3 linked regions of the Drosophila melanogaster genome follow. The protein of the gene in region 1 interacts with the protein of each later gene in a pairwise test. Each region holds a gene or a part of one and is shown on either strand. Other genes may lie near its edges.

Region 1 (4,377 bases):
AAGCAAATAACGATGTCGAGTTTCTAGAGGTGAGTCTCATCCAATACACTTAATATAAATGGAAATAAATATATATTTATTATCCTTGAAGAGATCTAGCGGTGAAGTGGAGGAGGTGACCGACACCTACGAAGAGGAGGACGTTCCACTCCGACCTATCCCCTTCCAACCTCGACCGTTTTATCCTCAGATCCCTCCCCGATCCAACGGTTTCCCCATTCGTGTAAGTGTTTTTATAAGTAGTTACACATAGTATTACAATCCGATTGACGATTGAACTATTTCAGCAACCCAACTATGACAATGCATTCCAAACCGATTACAATGTGGGTCCCAGAGGCAGCGGCTTCGACAACAGACCTTTTCCCAGTTCCCCGGATTTCCGTGGCAGAGGCATTCGACCAATTCCTGACTCCCCATTCCGCAATCAAAACTTAGGAACCTTTGTATCTCGACCGGTAATCTTGTGCAATCGTTTTCCTAACTAAAAAACTAATACACCTTCTCCAGGTACCTATGCCATCCAGTGGTTCCATTATCCCCCTTATCGCCGGTGGTTCCAGTATTCCGACTGGTAGAAGTGGTCCCCTTGGTTCCGGGGGCTCTTCTAACAACTTTTACCGGAGCGAATCCTATAGCTACACATCGGATGGAAGAGGACCTCCCCAAATCGAGCGGGATGTGTTCGACTCGCGGGATGGATTTGGATCATCTTATCGCAACTTTTAACACCTTTCCTAAGAGAAGCTGATGAATGAAAGTTCCGAGTTCTCAAAAACAACTAGTTAAGGCTGCTAGAGATTATACTGACTTGTCTGTGTGTAATGTAAAGATTCTTGGCATTACAAATAATCAGTTATTTTACTTTCCGCACGGTTTATTTATCAGACTAAATAACAATTGTATTGAATAGAAAGTCAGTAAAACTTTCAAAGCTATTGAAACCTGACAGCTTACAAATCTAAAAAAGGTATATTAAGGTATTCAATACCTTTGTAAAATGAATTCCACATTTCTTACGTCATACCTGCACTAAGTAGTAAACACTTACTAGCGTATTTATTATATGCTCATTGATTGTTAAATCAGCTGCAATATGTAATCAAATTTTAGCTTCCGGCGAGCGTGCTAATACAAAACATGAACTCTGGACTACTGGTTTTGATATTTGCAAGGCAGTTTCTGGAAATAATATATACGTTCGGACTATGTATCTGTAGTTATTTGGTTTAAACTTAAATGTACTTGAAACATGATATGTTTATTCAAATGAAATCAGAGTTGGTTAACTTGTCCAGCTTCTCATAGACATCCTTTTCGTTCTTAAAGTCATTAAACTGCTTGACCATCGCCGCGTTCCTGGCCAACCGACTGTCGGACCATGTGCTCATGTATTTCTCCACCTTCTGCTCTACGATTTTCAGAGTAGTTTCCAAGTTTCTTTCCAGGATCTGCTCCAGGTCCTCAACTCCGTGCTGTATGAATAGCTGAACGACAACCTCGTCAGCTTCCGATTCGAATTCTTTGCTGCCTGCAATCGAAATGATGCTTTCCAGTTCCTCAAGAGCATCCTCCAGTCTGTTCAGCTCGAATGAATCATCGAAGTCCAGGGTGTCCAAGGCCGCGACGAAGTCCTTAAGCTCCCTGAGAATGTGTCCCTTGGAGTTTGGTGGTAAAATGAGTTCGGCCTCGTCGATGACCAATTGAAAGACATGTCGTAGCTGTTCCATGGCGTCTGTTACCATTTGAAAGAGTTCATTGGACACTTCGAATTGTAACTGCCATTTGTTAATGAGAGGCGCTGCAAGCTGAAAGTTAAAGGTTTCTGTTGATTCCAAAAGGATATAAGCAAATCTAAGGATCTTACCGAAAGCTGGAGGGCAGCTACAGCGACTAGAAAAGTCCAAGTTAGTCTGCTGGCCATGATTTGAAACTGTATCTAGTCTCTATCGAACTGATTCCTTTTATATTCCCTCTCTTAAATTCACAATTTTTATACAAAATGGGAGAACGCCTCCTCTGTAATGAATACCCACTGATCGTGAGACAACGTATAGACTGTAATCAGACTTCAGAAATCGGTGAGCGTGATAAGAACGAGTGCTGCCCCTTCGTATATTAATTAGTGGGTAGTGGAAACCATGCATTTTGTTATTACAAAGTCGTATATAGTTCCAAGTCACGATAATATCTTTATTGCTTTAAAGTATCAGTTCTCGATATCTACACATGTTGATCAGACAGTCGGAAATTTTCCGGAAGTTAAACGGCATTTTTCAGGAATAAAGTCCTCGTATAAATAGATTCCGAATATTGTTCTTTGAAGTACATTTCTCATTTTATTACAAACACTTTCTAATTCTATGATATTGTTTAAATATTTAGCTATTAATCTTAAGCCTTCGTCCATATACCACTGGCCACCCCCTGCACCAAAGCCTGAGCCAATTTGGTGTAGTCCATTAGCTGGAGCTCAGGAAGTTGGCTCTTCAGGTTCTGGGGAAACTCCAAGAAGGTTGTGATCAGACTGTCCTTGGTTTCGGTGGCCAACTGGGTGACGTTGGAAACCAATTCCGACCTGTCCTGTCGACTGAGTCGCAGATACTTGGTAAGATGCGGCTTGACCTTGGCGAAGAATCTGCGGATGGCGATCTTCTCGCCGGGAAGAACCTCGACGAGCAACTTATCGGGAGTCTTATGGTACATGAGGTCGCTGTTTATCCAGGCGAAGATATAGAATGCAGTGCTGTAATAGTCCTCGTTCCCAGCAACCAGGTCGAGCTCCTCGAAGTACTGCCGATCGATGGTTTCGTTGGCCGGAAGACCCGGTAGTCGTTGGCGGGCATCTTCGATGGTCGTGTAGAGCACCTGATTGAAGAGCCTCTCCACCGCTTGAATTGTATTTCTCACCAAGATGGTAGGGCTGCGTTCTTTCACTTGGGATGAGTCCGCCAGAGCCTGGCAATCGAGAGGAAAATCAATAAGTTCCTTATCTAATCCACTGCCGACTCACCGACTCACCAGACAGATAAGACCCAGAAGCATCGAACAGCAAGTGCTGCCGCCGATAAGAAACCTCGAACTGCGCCCTGATCTCGCCATGCTCCTCTGATCGCTGCTCGATTTAGACTGATCATGTCGGACGGATGCCAAACGGTCTCCCCACCCAAACAATCTCGACTGGCTTAGGTTTTGTTTGTTTTATTAAGCGCAAGTAGAAAATATCTCAAGTACTGTTTATACGAATTTCGTAGAGTGAGCAAATTAATGGCCATTAATGTTCGTTCGTGGTTTTCTATTTAAGCTAGCTAGGAAAAAAAGATGCCGTCTAGTCGAATGTTAGTAGTAATCTGCATACACACGAGTAACATTAACAATTAGATTTGTAAATTACACATCTTAGCATATACTTAGGTTATTAGCAAGCTACTGCATTCTCATATTGATCCGGACTATATGTATATATATATTCATATTCAGCATTTGTAAATTGGCTTGTAACGGGAAGAAAGTCGTCCGGATAATCAAAATATGCTCATTCTTTTGTACACTTACAACATTTTCAATCTGATCTCTAAAGGTTGGTAAAATCGAAAAAGTGTTTTTAAATAAATTTAATTGTAAAGAAAAGAGTCTGGATTACCAAAACATCCTTAATAATTTGTACAATAACCATATTTTCTATATTATCTTTTAAAGTTGTGTAAAATCAAAAAATATCAAGGATCAAGGATCGTTTGGCATGCGATAAACGTCCTTATAACTATTTCATTTTGTATCTCTGCAAAAGTACTTATACATAAGTCTTATTACATTTACGTTCAGAATAATACGCTTTACCCGCGATTGTTGGCAAATGCACTGGCATTTTCAACAATCAGCTTAAAATAATTAAATTAACGTCCAATTGACTTAGGAATGCATACTTTATAGTTGAATACTGAAAATTTTTTGTTTTGAACAATTTTAATCCGCATTTCGAGATAACACACATATGTAGGTACACATTGTAGTAGGACTATCACTGAAACACCAAGTTGCATATTGATATATATTTGATATAAGTTATTTCGCATATATACATAGCTTTTTGTGTTGCAGTTGTCCAGGCATTGTACTGATTTGGCTTTTAAATATATATATATATATATAATATTCTTTATAATTGAGACCTGATAGCAGCCATTGTCGTAGTTCACACCTAAGGAGATTCTAATTCAGTTGCTTATACTAACGCTGATATTTGGATTAAATCTTTACAGTATTTTACGAGTTCTCAAGGTACATCTGACATTCAGGACATTGGGGCCATGCAGACCCCAATAGTCGATAACAAGTTATAAAATAATCGTGACAAAATGCAAAAATAATATGCTT
Region 2 (7,624 bases), 1.1 Mb from region 1:
GCCAAACGACCCAATGAGCTCAACAATCAGCGTCCAGCATTGGGTCACACACAAACCGCACGGTCGAAACCCAATCAGCGCTATCGAGAGGGCTACCACTATCACACATCCCGCCAGAGTCCCACATTCGTGCTGGGCGATGATCAGGGTGCCGGTCCATCCACGTCCCGTTCCAATGATAACTCTAGTGCGTGATAGTTCTTAATGCCTCAGCCAGACGAAGGACACAGCAGGGAGAGCTTGGCCAGGCGTCCAAGGAAGGGGAATAGTTACAGAGATCTCTAAGCCATTAAATTCGGGAAAATCAATTGGAAGCATGTTGCAGCACTTTGGTCGACGTAGAAAGTGAACGAACACAACGGACAAAATTGTTAATTAGTTTAAAACCACACGCGAAACTCGTCGGAATTAGAAGTTGAGACACCAAGAGAGGAAATATTTAAGCAGCCGAGCAAAGCAAACAATAATAAATTTAATATATATTGTGTGTATGTGTACTACGAGCCGAGAGAGAAATTTAAAGAATTTAAGCCACAAGAAATTTGAAACGCAGATCAACCTGATCTACGCCCATTTGATTAGTTATACGAACACCAACACCCTTGAAATTGGTCAATGTCGAGCTATAACTAAAAAGGATATTAAATTGGTAACTATACGGTATCAAGGTAACGCGCGGAAATTGCAAGCAAAATTGAAGATTAGAATTGGAAGATTACAATGAGCATGGACATGGAAATCAACTTGTTATAAACGTAGTTTTGCTTATTTTTTAATAAAAACAACTAATTCAAGAAAAACAAAATCAACTAATTTCACTTGTTCTTTTTAGAAATCAAATCTATTTCTCTTCTGTTTAAATGTGTTCAAATGTGACAATCAAATCATTATAATGCAACAAGATTATTCTAGTGCTTCGGAAATGCATGCAACAGGCTTAGATTTACTTCAGCCCCAGGTCCTTTTCAATTGTATGCGAGCAGACGGCCATCATCTGATCCTTGACGTTGACGAAGTTGCGAATAGCAGCGGGCTTGGCCTCTGGCCAACCAGCCAGATCGCGGTAGATGGGGCGACAGAACTTCATGCGGAAGTTGGAGTTGGCAAATTCGAGGATCTCATCCAGACGTTTTATCAAGCGTGCACGGATAATCAAGCGATTCAATCGGAAGCGAACCTCGGCGTTCTTCGAACTCTTCAGGTTGTATGTGGATTCCAGTAGATTAATCTTGCCTTCGTTCAAATCGACAATGTCCTTGCTCTCGATCAGTTTGCCCAGGAAGTCAATGAGCTGGTGAATGGAAATGGTCGTCTTGATCTCCGCACTGTCAGCCAATTCAGCCACGCTCTTAGAGCTCCAGAGACTGGCCAATTCCTTGGTCACATTAGCGAGGGATTCATCGAAGTTCGGAATGACGGGTGGCATTCCCTCGGATTTCAGCCACAAGTCCCAGTCGACAGCACTCAGCTTATCCTTCTTGTCCGTGTCGATGAAGTAGTCATATAAAGCACTCTGGAAATCTTTCGTCTCAATCGACTTGTAGGCGTATTTTTTCAGATAGTCTCTCAGGAAAGGCTCAAAAACGGTTGGTCCGCCAAACAAGTCCTCCAAGTAGCGCAGGAACGTCGAACCCTTAATGTAAGGCACTGAAGAGAAGGCATCGTCGGGTCCACAGTTGGATAGATCCACCACCAGCTTAGTCAGCTCGGGTGTCTTGTTGAGCTGAGTGCGGATGCACTCCTGCAGATCCGTGAGATTGCTGAGCATCTAGGAAGAGCGATAGAAATTGTTGAAGGCTTGTAACTGAACTGCAACTCAAGTGATATGCTTACTTTAAAGTCCAACTCCTTGGCGCCCTGCATTCTTCCCACGATCTTGGATTCCACGAACACAGTGAAGCCCTCGTTCAACCAGAAATGCTCGAAGTTCTTGTTGGTCACAAGATTACCAGTCCAGCTGTGGGCTATCTCGTGAGCCACAACGTCGGCCAGAGACTTATCACCGGCCAAAAGAGTGGGAGTTACGAAGGTGAGGCATGGATTCTCCATGCCACCAAAGGGGAATGAGGGGGGCATCACCAGAAGATCGTACTGCTTCCAGACATACGGACCACACAACTCAGTGGCAGTCTTTAGCATGGTAGCTGTTTCGGAAAACTCCTCGGCGCAGGCATCCACGATGGCTTCCTCAGCCCAGACACTGGAGTTCTCCCCCAGCGGGCGGGAAACCAATTTGCCAATGGCAATGGCCACCAGATAAGCGGGAATGGGCACCTCCTGCTTGAATAGTGTCTTTCCCGGTTCCTTCTTATCGATAAGGGCGCTCATCAGGGCCGTGAGCTCGCTGGGATGCTCCACTGTGGCATCATAGGTAAACTTAACAGCTGGCGTGTCTTGGCAGGGAATCACCGAGCGAGCGTGGATTGCCTGGCATTGGGAGAACATATAAGGATGCTCCTTGCCCAAAGTCTGGGTGGGATTCAGCCACTGCAACCCACTGGCGCTGCTTGAAGTCTCGTAATCGATGCGAACGTTAAGGCTAGATAGGAGTGTTTTAGATTATTAATGACTTTCATAGATTAGATTATCTATCGCCGAGGTTTTACCTTCCCTTAGCCGTTCCAGATGGCAACTCCAGCGTTAGCTTCTGGCCAATATCATCGACGGCATCGCTGATAAAGAAGTTGATCGGGAGCTCACTGCCTCCGGCCAGCAGCGTGGCATTGGTTACATTGATGTCGCGGACATCAAGGAGCTAAGTTACATGTAAGGTAAATGGGTAAATAAGAAGTTCTAGGAACATGCCGCGGAATGAATATCTTCCAGAATTCTTATGCTGGATCCAGTGCGTTCCCCCAAGTACTCACAATTTTGTCCAGATTGGCAGTCAACACCTTGAAGCGATGGAGCACGCTTCCTTGGATTTTGGTTGCTGCAAAGTCGATCTTCCAGTTGAGAGCACTGTGCTCAGTGGTGATCAAATCGGGCTGCGAGTAAGAACTGGGATCCACGACTCCTAAGCGACCCATGTTGCGTTTTTGTACTTGGTAAATCGGGAGTAGTTTGTGTGAAGTGCACAAGCCGCGAGTAGAGACTGAAAAAGAGTAAGAAATATTTGAAAATTGTTAACTTTCTGCGATAGTGCTATCGTATGCCATAAAAATGTGCACAGATAAGCCAAAAGCTGTGGTTAAATTCTAACAGCTGCTGTTGTGTGGTTTAAGATATTTACGTTAAGTGATGACCGCACTTTCTATATAGTATATTTATTCACGTACGTTAAAATAATTCGTGGGCGGCGTCGATAGATATGGGTGCAAAATGAAGCAGATACAAATGAGATGAATAAGTTGCAATTCACTGCCACACAGCCGGTAAATTGCAGGGTTGTCGAGGATCGCAAAGTGTTAGACACAACAATCTATTAATTATGAAATAAATTAAGCAGCTTGCCAAACTAAATACGTTATTTCCAGTGCCAAGTTACTTTCTTTAAATTCTTGCTATTCTGACATAAATTGTAAAGTCTATAAAAATTAACCTGAAGCTTAGCTGCCTGGCATCCCTTTTGCAGTATTGCCAGCCCAAAAAAATCTCACGCTTTTAGATTAGTGAAGTCGCCGCCGTTATACCATGTAATAAACAATAAAATCACATAAAATTTGGCTATAGAAAATAAGAATTGAAAAAAAAAAATTAAAACTTCAATAAGCTTTTTCCATATTTTGTATTTATCTTAATTACAATGATTTCCTATCAGCATATCAACGCAAGATATAATCCTTGGGATAATCCATAATGTTGGGGAAGTTCTCCAGCGTTTCTTTGTCGATATGATCCAGACGCTGGGGAATAGAGCGCGGCGTGCGGATTTGATTCGTGACGTTTTGCAGGATTTCCTCGGGCACCTGATCGTCGGCGAACAAGTGCAGTCTTTGCATGGTGTGCCTGCGCTGCAGATTTCCGCGCATCGAGTTGTACACGGCCTTCTTCATCACCATCGTGGGATCCTTCTCGTGCAGCTGCCACGCCAGGGTCCACGAAGCGCCACCAGGATAGCCGGTGTGGTGGAAGTAAACCCTCTTCACCCACTCGTCACCGGGCAAAGCGATTTCCCGCGTGTTGATCAGCACCACATGATCCCCGCAGTCATCTGGAAAATTACATGTACGGTTTTTATTGGATGGCCGTTGGGGATTACTTGCTTAACCTAAAAGTACAATAATCACTGGTCAAAAATAAGGTATGAAATACCTGAACCGTCATTCAGTTGCGCTCCAAATAGTAGTTTTAGTCTTAGCAGAGGAAGTAACTATATATAATCGGCGACCATTTAGTAGATCCTTATGAGTATGAGGATTTTTAATTAAACATATTTGTTTAAGGATTAAACAAACAAGGATTATTACCGAATTCATACTACTATTTGAATCGCAGGCTGAATGGTCAAATAATTACCGTTTTTGGATTAAAATTTATTTGTTTTCATTTTATACTTGCAGCAGCAACAACAACAACAACAACAACAACTAAGAAAACACGCCGGTGATGTAATGACATCGAAATACCCCAAAAAAGGGCTTAAATCAAACGCTGTCGAGATCGAAACTAAACAAAAACTGCGCCAAAGGATAACACTTACTCATTGGGTGGTAAATGGGCTTTTGGAGGCCCAATAAATGCGTTTTAACCAGTTTTGCCGACTCGAATGGATTCTGCCAGGTGCAATCGTAAATGTGCCAAGTGCGCGCGAACGTTGCCCATTGCTAAATCCGGAGGAAATTTAATGATTACCTATTGCACATTGAGGGTAGTGAGCTTACGCACCTGCACACGCTTCGCAATGGACATTTTTTGAGATTTTTAATTAAACAATTTAAATAAAAATAATTTCTCAGCTGGCAGACAGTGTGACCAAGGTATGAAGTTTGAAAAATATCGTTTAACAAAGCGATAATAATGACTAAAAAATGCAATACCATTCCCTTAGCAAAGGTCCCAACCACAGAAGCAGTTCAGACACATTCCAATTGGATTCATATTACACATTACCGTGACTCAAACCGTATGGAAGCAGTTCATCAATTGTGTTAAGCAGTACTTTTTAGCATTGCAAGCAGTGTGACAACGAAATTAAGAAATGAAATGATTTCTTTTAAAATATCTTCTTTTAAAAATAAGACAGGGTATTTTTGTTATTTTTCGTCTTGTTTTTTTGTGGTTTTATTTTCGTTTGTAATTTCATTTAAACATTTTCTATAGTTACTAAAATTACTTATGCACTGTTTATTATTAATATTAGTTAAATATTATTGAAAATACATTAGTTGTTTTACGAAACAGTTCATAAACATCCTTGGTACACTTCGTCATTTCTTTCTGCCTTTCCGCTGCCGGATTTGTTGTCTCCCTCGTCTTCTAATGCATTTCGGAAATGTTTAAAAACTAACAAATAAGTCTAGATTTAGTTACAGTTTTTGTTTCTCGCTTACATAAAATTCCCGTCCGCTTTTCTGCATTTATTTATTTATAATAATTTTGTGTTTCTTTTGCCATACAATTTATGAACTTAACGTAGATGCTTTTGTTGTTGCTAATTCGATTTACAAGTTTGCCAAGTGCGCCTTTATAGTTTATAGCTACGCCTCGGATTTGACATCCCAAATACCATATAATACACACGAGTCAGATTCTCTTTTCGTTTTTGAATGCTTTCTTTCGATCGGTTCTTTTGCATTTTGAATGAAAATATATTTGTTTATTATTAATATATAAAAGGTATTTACAAATTTATGTTTAATGAAATTCCCTACTTGATGCGAAGTAACTGTTTTCCTTTTGTTATCATAATTTTTGTTTTCGTGTCTGAAATTATTGTAATAACTTTTCAAGTGTGTGAGCATTTTTGTTTAGCTTACATTAATTTTTTCATGATCTTTTTTTCTTCGAACTCAACAACAAAAGTGTATGTTACATAACGAACCAGAGCCAGATTATCCACAAAATGCCAACGGCCTACAGACTATTTTTTGGCACCGAATCAAACAGAATAAAATTAAATGTACAGAATACACATGAGTAGAATATGAAAATGCGGACAGAAAGAATTGCACAACCCCGAATACAGTCGAACTCCACTTACTGGATAAAACTATTGATGAAACTTCGAATCGTTTTGAAGTAAAATGGGAACACTTTTTGATAAAATTATTGAATAAAGTACAAATGATTTGGGTATTTAAAGAAGTATTCAATTGTACACCAGAATTTCAGCACGGGTGTCAATATTTTGCAAGACAACTTTTCGAGTTTATGAAGATCGACTGCAGCTCCTCACGTTCGAGCTTCCTGCCACGCCCTCTGCGCGCCCTTTGTTTTTAGAGAACCGCATGTGAGGCCGGGGAAGCCGAGCCCGTTACCTTCTGGAGCATTTGCATGAGCTGCTCGGTGGCCGACTGATTGGCCACCACGCCCAAGCCCAGGACACCTGAACCACCGCCCACGGCACCGCCACCCCCTGCTCCGACGCCCGATGGCGGCGAGGAGATCGATGTGCCCGCCGAGGCCGAGGAAGAGGACGACGGGGTCAGCGCCAGCTTGGATTCTGGGAGCAACAAAAGAAGCTGGATTAGATTCGGTTCGATTGTCTACGGACTGCCCTGCATACTGTCATCGCTCTCCAGGTAGGTGACGTAGGAGTCGGTGCTGTCCGGATGGTGGTGCGAGGTGATCCCGGAGTCCAAACTGCTGCCTCCGGGCTGCTGGTTCGGCTGCTGGTTCTGATGGTTGTGCGGTCCGCCGGGGGGCGGGGGGTGCTGGTGGGGAGGTCCTTGCGCCGGATGCGAGTGCGGATGCGGCGGCAGAATGGGCATCCCGTTCAGGTCGTAGCCGTGCATCTGCGGGAAGGGAGCGGAAAGGGGTTAGATGTCAGTTGTGGATTATTTAAATATCCTCATAACTTATTTTTCATAATCGAAAATGTACTTGTCTTCTTCTTTTTTTTAGAATCTGTGTATTTATTGAAATGTAAACATTTATTGGGGGGATTGAAAGACATAGAAATAAAATGTATTCACGGTCATCTTGGTGATAACAGCTAAACTACTAATTTATTATCCATTCATCATCGTCTGTGAAGTTTATTGATACACGTATGGCAAAAATGTTTTTAATCGGTTTATTTCTCGCATATTTATAATATATCCTAACCAGTTTTCAATTGGCAAGCAAACAACCATAGCGAAAATTATGCAATCTAGTTGGTGGCTTTGGCTCACGTTAAAATCAAAATAAACTCGTTTCCGATCATGGTTTAATAAAGGGATTAGAGGGATTACTATCCCGTTTAAAATAATTGTACATATATCCCTACCTGATTGACCAACTGCTGAAATGCGGGCGTGTGGGTATTGATCGCTCCATTGCTGTCGAGATCGGCGTGAAGGGCGAAGTCGCTTAAGGCTTTCCATGGCGGTTGATATGTCTGCACATCCAGGCCCTGAAGATTCAGTGGGGAGTCATGCCGCACCGGGGAACTGGCGATCATGGGGATGCCCTGCATGGCGCCGTAGCCCAGCTTGCGACCCTCCTGTCAGGGGAGAATTTCAATGAGATATGTATGGGC
Region 3 (4,971 bases), on another chromosome or scaffold:
ACAAACAAAATTTACGTTTATCCTTAAGTGTATTCTGTTTTCGTTTTTGGTTTGTTCCAGTGCACGCCAGATCGCAGATCTATGCATGAACTAAGAAGGGAATGGGGTGACTAGTGTTATTGCTCATATAAATCCCATGGTAATTGTTAGTTAATCAGTTGTACCAACATATCCCACAGGTTGCCTGCCTTTCGGAGCACGCGGTCGTCGCCACGCGTGGGAGAAAAGCGATGGCTTCAAGCTGGGCGGACTTCTCGATCGGGATCGCAACGGATTCGAGAAGCTGGACCAGCAGGCCAGCGACGAGGAGCAGGAGACGAAGACACTGGCGAGTGCCCAGTACGCCTAGGCGAAGGACCAAGACTTACGCAGCTAACAAAGCATTCCTAGTTCTAACTACCTGTACCTCATTGAAATACCGACTTAGTTTTACGCGAGCTATGTATATGTGTGTACTTTAGGTAACTTTATTTACCTTCCTTGTGGTGCATATCGCAGAGAATTCCGATCGTGGTGTATTTCTAGTTGATTTATTGAGCCGTTTGTTCAATGTATTTTAAACAGCTTATTTATGGAAACTTCTTTTGGAGAACCGACTATGCGATTTTTTTCCGGTTACTTATATTTATTCTTTATTTAAAAGAATACATTTTTAAAACGCATGCCTCTAAAGAGCTCGAAAATATCTGAAATATTGTAAGTGCCACAGAGTCCAATGACTTGACCACATCCTTTAAATTAATTTTTTTTTTCGAATTAAATCGAAGTTCTCAGCGAATGCGCCTCATATATTGCGATTAATTTGCCAAAAAGAATATAGTCGTATGAATCTGTCATAGTGTGTATTTCGATTATTTAAAGTCTGCGGCTTAACTAGATTTCGTTATAAATAGGTGTACAACATATTGTGTCGACTTGCAAGGCCCCATAGTGGCGAATATGTTTAGCCCCTTTCCTCGTCCCTGGTTGCCACGATCCCAGAAGACCTAGGGTTTAGCTTCTGGCTGGCGGTCAGACAACCTGGGCGAGGAAACCCTCATTCTCCTCCGTTACAATAGCATCGATGTTGTAGAATATAGCATGCATAGCAATCACGAAGCATGAAGCACCCAGCGTCCAAAACAAAACCGCACCCGCGCCCACCAGGAATAGCACTGGTGCCGTCGCCAGATTGAGTGCGATGATCTGCTGGCTGGGCGTCAGTTGTTGTCCCACGATGGTAATGTTACTGTTGCGCACGCGCAGCTTATGGCAGCCAAAAGCGGAAGCCAGGATGACCAGCAGAATGCAGGGAGCCGTGATGCTTAAGATTATAACTATTAAATGGGGTGCAATAAGGTTTTTAGAATCACTTACAGGCAGTATATCATCAGTACAAAAAAGATGAAAACGTAGTTGGCCTGAAAATAGGAGAGATTCCGAATAACCCGGCTATTTAGCCGCTGCATGCTGATGGCCGTTTTGAAATTGTTGATGTTGAAGAAGACTACCCAGGGCCGCAGGGAGTTTCGGACCATTTGGAAGATCTGCAGCGGTGATGGCAGGTTGGATAGCGAGGGCAGGCTGCAGGGTTCAAGAGTAATTAGCTATTCGCTCCTTGTTACGGTTTACTCACCTTTGCATGTCCACGGAGAACCTGCCTCCGGAAGGCGGTGGCGGCTGCATGTTACCGGATAGGTTCCCGCCAGTGTGTGCCATTTTGCTTGTGCTTTCCCAACCTCGTCCTAACACTTATCTTAGATACACGTCTTCGCTGCAATCTACAATTCTTCTTTCGACAAGTGTGGGCGTTCCACAAGTGTTATGTGTATCTTTGGATTCGTTCCACTTGGTCCAAGAACTGTCTTGAGGATGCTGCGGCGTTTGTAAAGCGGCGAGGACTTTAGCGGGGTCACTTCTACATGGAGGCGGCAACACTTTCGATGTTGATTTTACGATTCACTCTTAATTTGCTATGACATCGTTTTCTTTTGAGAAACAGTATACAAAGTTTGAAAAATCTGATGTGGCAGATAGTTCTAGGATTGCCGTTGCCGTGACGTGCGGTGTGGCCAGAGTTGCGAGTGCGCAAATTCTCGAAATCAACTGAAAACAAATCCAAAGCGCTGAATGCAATCAAACATTTAATACAAAACTTTTTCTCTAAACATTTGAATTATTTTTTAATGATATTTTTACACAAAACAATTATATTTTTCTACCTATTACTCGTGTAGTAGATGGTTATACTAGATTCGTTTAAAAATGTATATATTTTTGATATCCTTGTCTATTAACTTGAACTATTAAAGCTAGAAAGTTAAGATTAGAAATTCAGTTTCTTTCTGATGATGCAACGCCACAATTTAAAAAAATGAATCGATTTTTTTTCATTTTATTACTTGTCTTGCCAATTTCTAGAGCTATGCCAAAAACCTTTTACCACGCCCATTTTAACACTGAAATCTGCTACGTCTTCACTTTTATGTGTAGACATTTTTTAATTTTACTATTTGTTATCAGTATGGCAAAAGATATGTTGGATGCGCCCAAACCAAACCAAACCCACACTTTTAAAAAGTTACTTGCCTATTTTTCATCTTATTATTTTTTTTTCCAATTTGTATAGATAAGCCAAAATGAATGTTGAACTTTTCCACCAGCTGAGTAATTGGTATCTGATAGTCGAGGAACTGGACTATATAGTTCTCTCTGCTTAAAAATGTTTTCATCACAGAATTACTTATTATTTCTTTTAACAAGGCCAAACAAAGCAAACATATTAAGCAATTCTTTTAATTTCCTTTTATATAAGTAGGCGTAACGAAAGAAATTTTAAGAGTCTGCGTTGCTTTACAAGTAACAGGTAAGAATCGCGCTGATATTTTAAATATTTTTTGAACAATTTATTTGACGGATAACACAACATCCATTAAATTTTTCTCAGGTCTTCTGGCTAATACATACATATCTTATATTTCTTGTATCTTGTATACACACTCAGGTTAAATGTTACATTTCTATTTACATTTACCAACAAAGAGTTTTAGAAGTTAAGAGAGTTTTCATTTGCATTACCATTATGAATATAGACTATATAATAAAAGTTCTAACTTAGATATATTTACAGATATGGATTTTTGACGTCATAACATATTGCTGGTGTGACACAAGTGATAAGTATTTTTTCACAGTTCCGGTATGAATCAGATTTTTGATTTTAACTTAAAAAAATTGTGTCTTGAAATATTCAGAATGGATTTATATTTGTTTACGGAGATGGAAATTGATTATCATCTTTTTGTTCAACGGTATTTTGGGATTGTGGAGAAAGTAAAAAATAAATCTCGTTCTAGTCACGCGGTATCAGGGTGATGGTGTCCTTCATTTCCAAAAAACCTGTGAATGTATTCGAGTGTTGCGACTGTTAGATACCTGTTACTCAGTTTATGAACCTGCAACATATGGATATGTAGAATTTGAATAATTTGGCGTGTAGCAAGGATATAGCTCTGATCAATCTATTACTACAGTTTTGATATGTTTAAAAGTAGTAGGATTTGAACGTTTCCTGGTATCCAGAAGACTTTTAGGATGTGAGCGTTTTAGGAGTTTAGGGCGTAACAGGGGCGTGGCACGGTTTTAAAGAAAACTTACATGCTTCCTTACTCTTAATGTTTCCGACATCTCGACATTCATACGGACGGACAGGCAGGCCATTATAATTAACCCAAGGAAAGTTGTGGATTGGACATCGTGCCATGAATCATTTTAGCAATCGAGATAAGCTTGAACTTTTAAGACCAACTGGCTTTTGAATTCAGTATTCGGTTAGGCTTTGACATTTCAAGATGGTCTCGATCCATTTTTATTTGGCACTTTTGCTTCAAGCGATTTCCTTGGCGAATTCTTTCCAATTTGGTAAATAGTGGCAACTACAATACAATATACATATCTACAATTTCATCGGATCAGTGTCAGTGTTAAATATATACTTTGGCAGCTCACGGATCTATTTTTGGTCTCAACAATAATTAATACCTTATAATTACAAAATTGGAACTTCATTGGGTTGATTTCGCTACACAAAACTATAGTCTTACCAGGAAAATGCAATCTTTAATAGGATTTCATACAGTGTTACAAATGCTATTTTCGGCCATTTTGAGCTCCATTAATTGGTCAATTTTTGTTACCCCCCTTAGCAAAATTCAATTTTTGCCGACTAGACGAGATTTGCATCCCACTGAGCAAATGTGAACCTCTTATGAAGATTCTACATCCCCGGAACATGACAAACGATCAAAAATCACAGTACCGGAACAAACTATGCAACATTAATCCTTTTGCCCACGAGCTAGTGCACATGGTTTTTACCTGCTGCCCGATGGTTGCAGGGGATAAACTACCAGATAGCAGGGTCTGCGGACAGAGTCCTCCTTCGTCATATATCGTAGGCGGCATGGAGGCACAGTCCAACCAGTTTCCCTGGACAGTCCTGCTGGGTTACGAAGCCTACACAGCAAAGCAGCGACCGTCTCCCATGTGTGCGGGCTCCTTGATCGCCAGTCGCTATGTGCTGACGGCAGCCCATTGTTTGAATGTGAATGACTTCTACGTGGCACGTGTGCGCCTGGGCGAGCATGACACCGAGAACGATCCCGACTACACCTGGCTGCCGAATGGAGCCAAGATATGGGCTCCAGCGCACGTGGACATCGATGTGGATCTGAGGGTTCCGCACGAGCAGTACTACACGAGAAATGGAAGACACTACAACGACATTGCTCTGTTGCGTCTGAAGAGTCGGGTGAAGTAAGTAGTGTGCTCTTTGGGGTTCCCTCTTTTCACATTTTCCCATCGATGTCCTCTCTTTCAGATACACTCTTCAGATCAGACCCATTTGCATTTGGCCTGGCATTGAATTGTCAACTTCCTCCTTCAAAAACTTCCCTTTTCAAATTGCCGGCTGGGGCGATTCGGGTCTGCAGC

What was found. Proteins that work in one complex are often made in the same cells at the same time.
Region 2: the proteins of OS9 (region 1) and CG10602 interact in a two-hybrid assay, tested with the Drosophila melanogaster proteins (one large-scale study listed by BioGRID).
Region 3: the proteins of OS9 (region 1) and CG1418 interact in a two-hybrid assay, tested with the Drosophila melanogaster proteins (one large-scale study listed by BioGRID).

Annotation. Positions count from the first base shown.
Region 1 is NT_033779.5:19,964,553-19,968,929, forward strand, and holds OS9 (Olfactory-specific 9), read right to left. Parts: upstream 1,959-4,377; 5' UTR 1,925-1,958; coding exon 1,868-1,924; intron 1,809-1,867; coding exon 1,266-1,808; 3' UTR 1,112-1,265; downstream 1-1,111. Other genes in the region: CG10680 (uncharacterized protein), read left to right, coding at 1-29, 92-223, 288-458, 511-729; Hf (helical factor), read right to left, coding at 2,395-2,958, 3,022-3,102.
Region 2 is NT_033779.5:18,854,310-18,861,933, forward strand, and holds CG10602 (uncharacterized protein), read right to left. Parts: upstream 4,940-7,624; 5' UTR 4,852-4,939; coding exon 4,828-4,851; intron 4,767-4,827; coding exon 4,643-4,766; intron 4,154-4,642; coding exon of another isoform or gene 3,765-4,153; exon of another isoform or gene 3,719-3,764; intron 3,371-3,718; exon of another isoform or gene 3,233-3,370; intron 3,095-3,232; coding exon 2,868-3,094; intron 2,756-2,867; coding exon 2,607-2,755; intron 2,540-2,606; coding exon 1,834-2,539; intron 1,769-1,833; coding exon 944-1,768; 3' UTR 817-943; downstream 1-816. Other genes in the region: CG17321 (uncharacterized protein), read left to right, coding at 2-195; mRpL13 (mitochondrial ribosomal protein L13), read right to left, coding at 3,765-4,153, 4,643-4,766, 4,828-4,851; tup (tailup), read right to left, coding at 6,378-6,604, 6,668-6,896, 7,373-7,588.
Region 3 is NT_033778.4:9,963,019-9,967,989, forward strand, and holds CG1418 (uncharacterized protein), read right to left. Parts: upstream 2,050-4,971; 5' UTR 1,699-2,049; coding exon 1,616-1,698; intron 1,564-1,615; coding exon 1,357-1,563; intron 1,304-1,356; coding exon 1,012-1,303; 3' UTR 817-1,011; downstream 1-816. Other genes in the region: Pal1 (Peptidyl-alpha-hydroxyglycine-alpha-amidating lyase 1), read left to right, coding at 180-349; CG12133 (uncharacterized protein), read left to right, coding at 4,247-4,794, 4,859-4,971.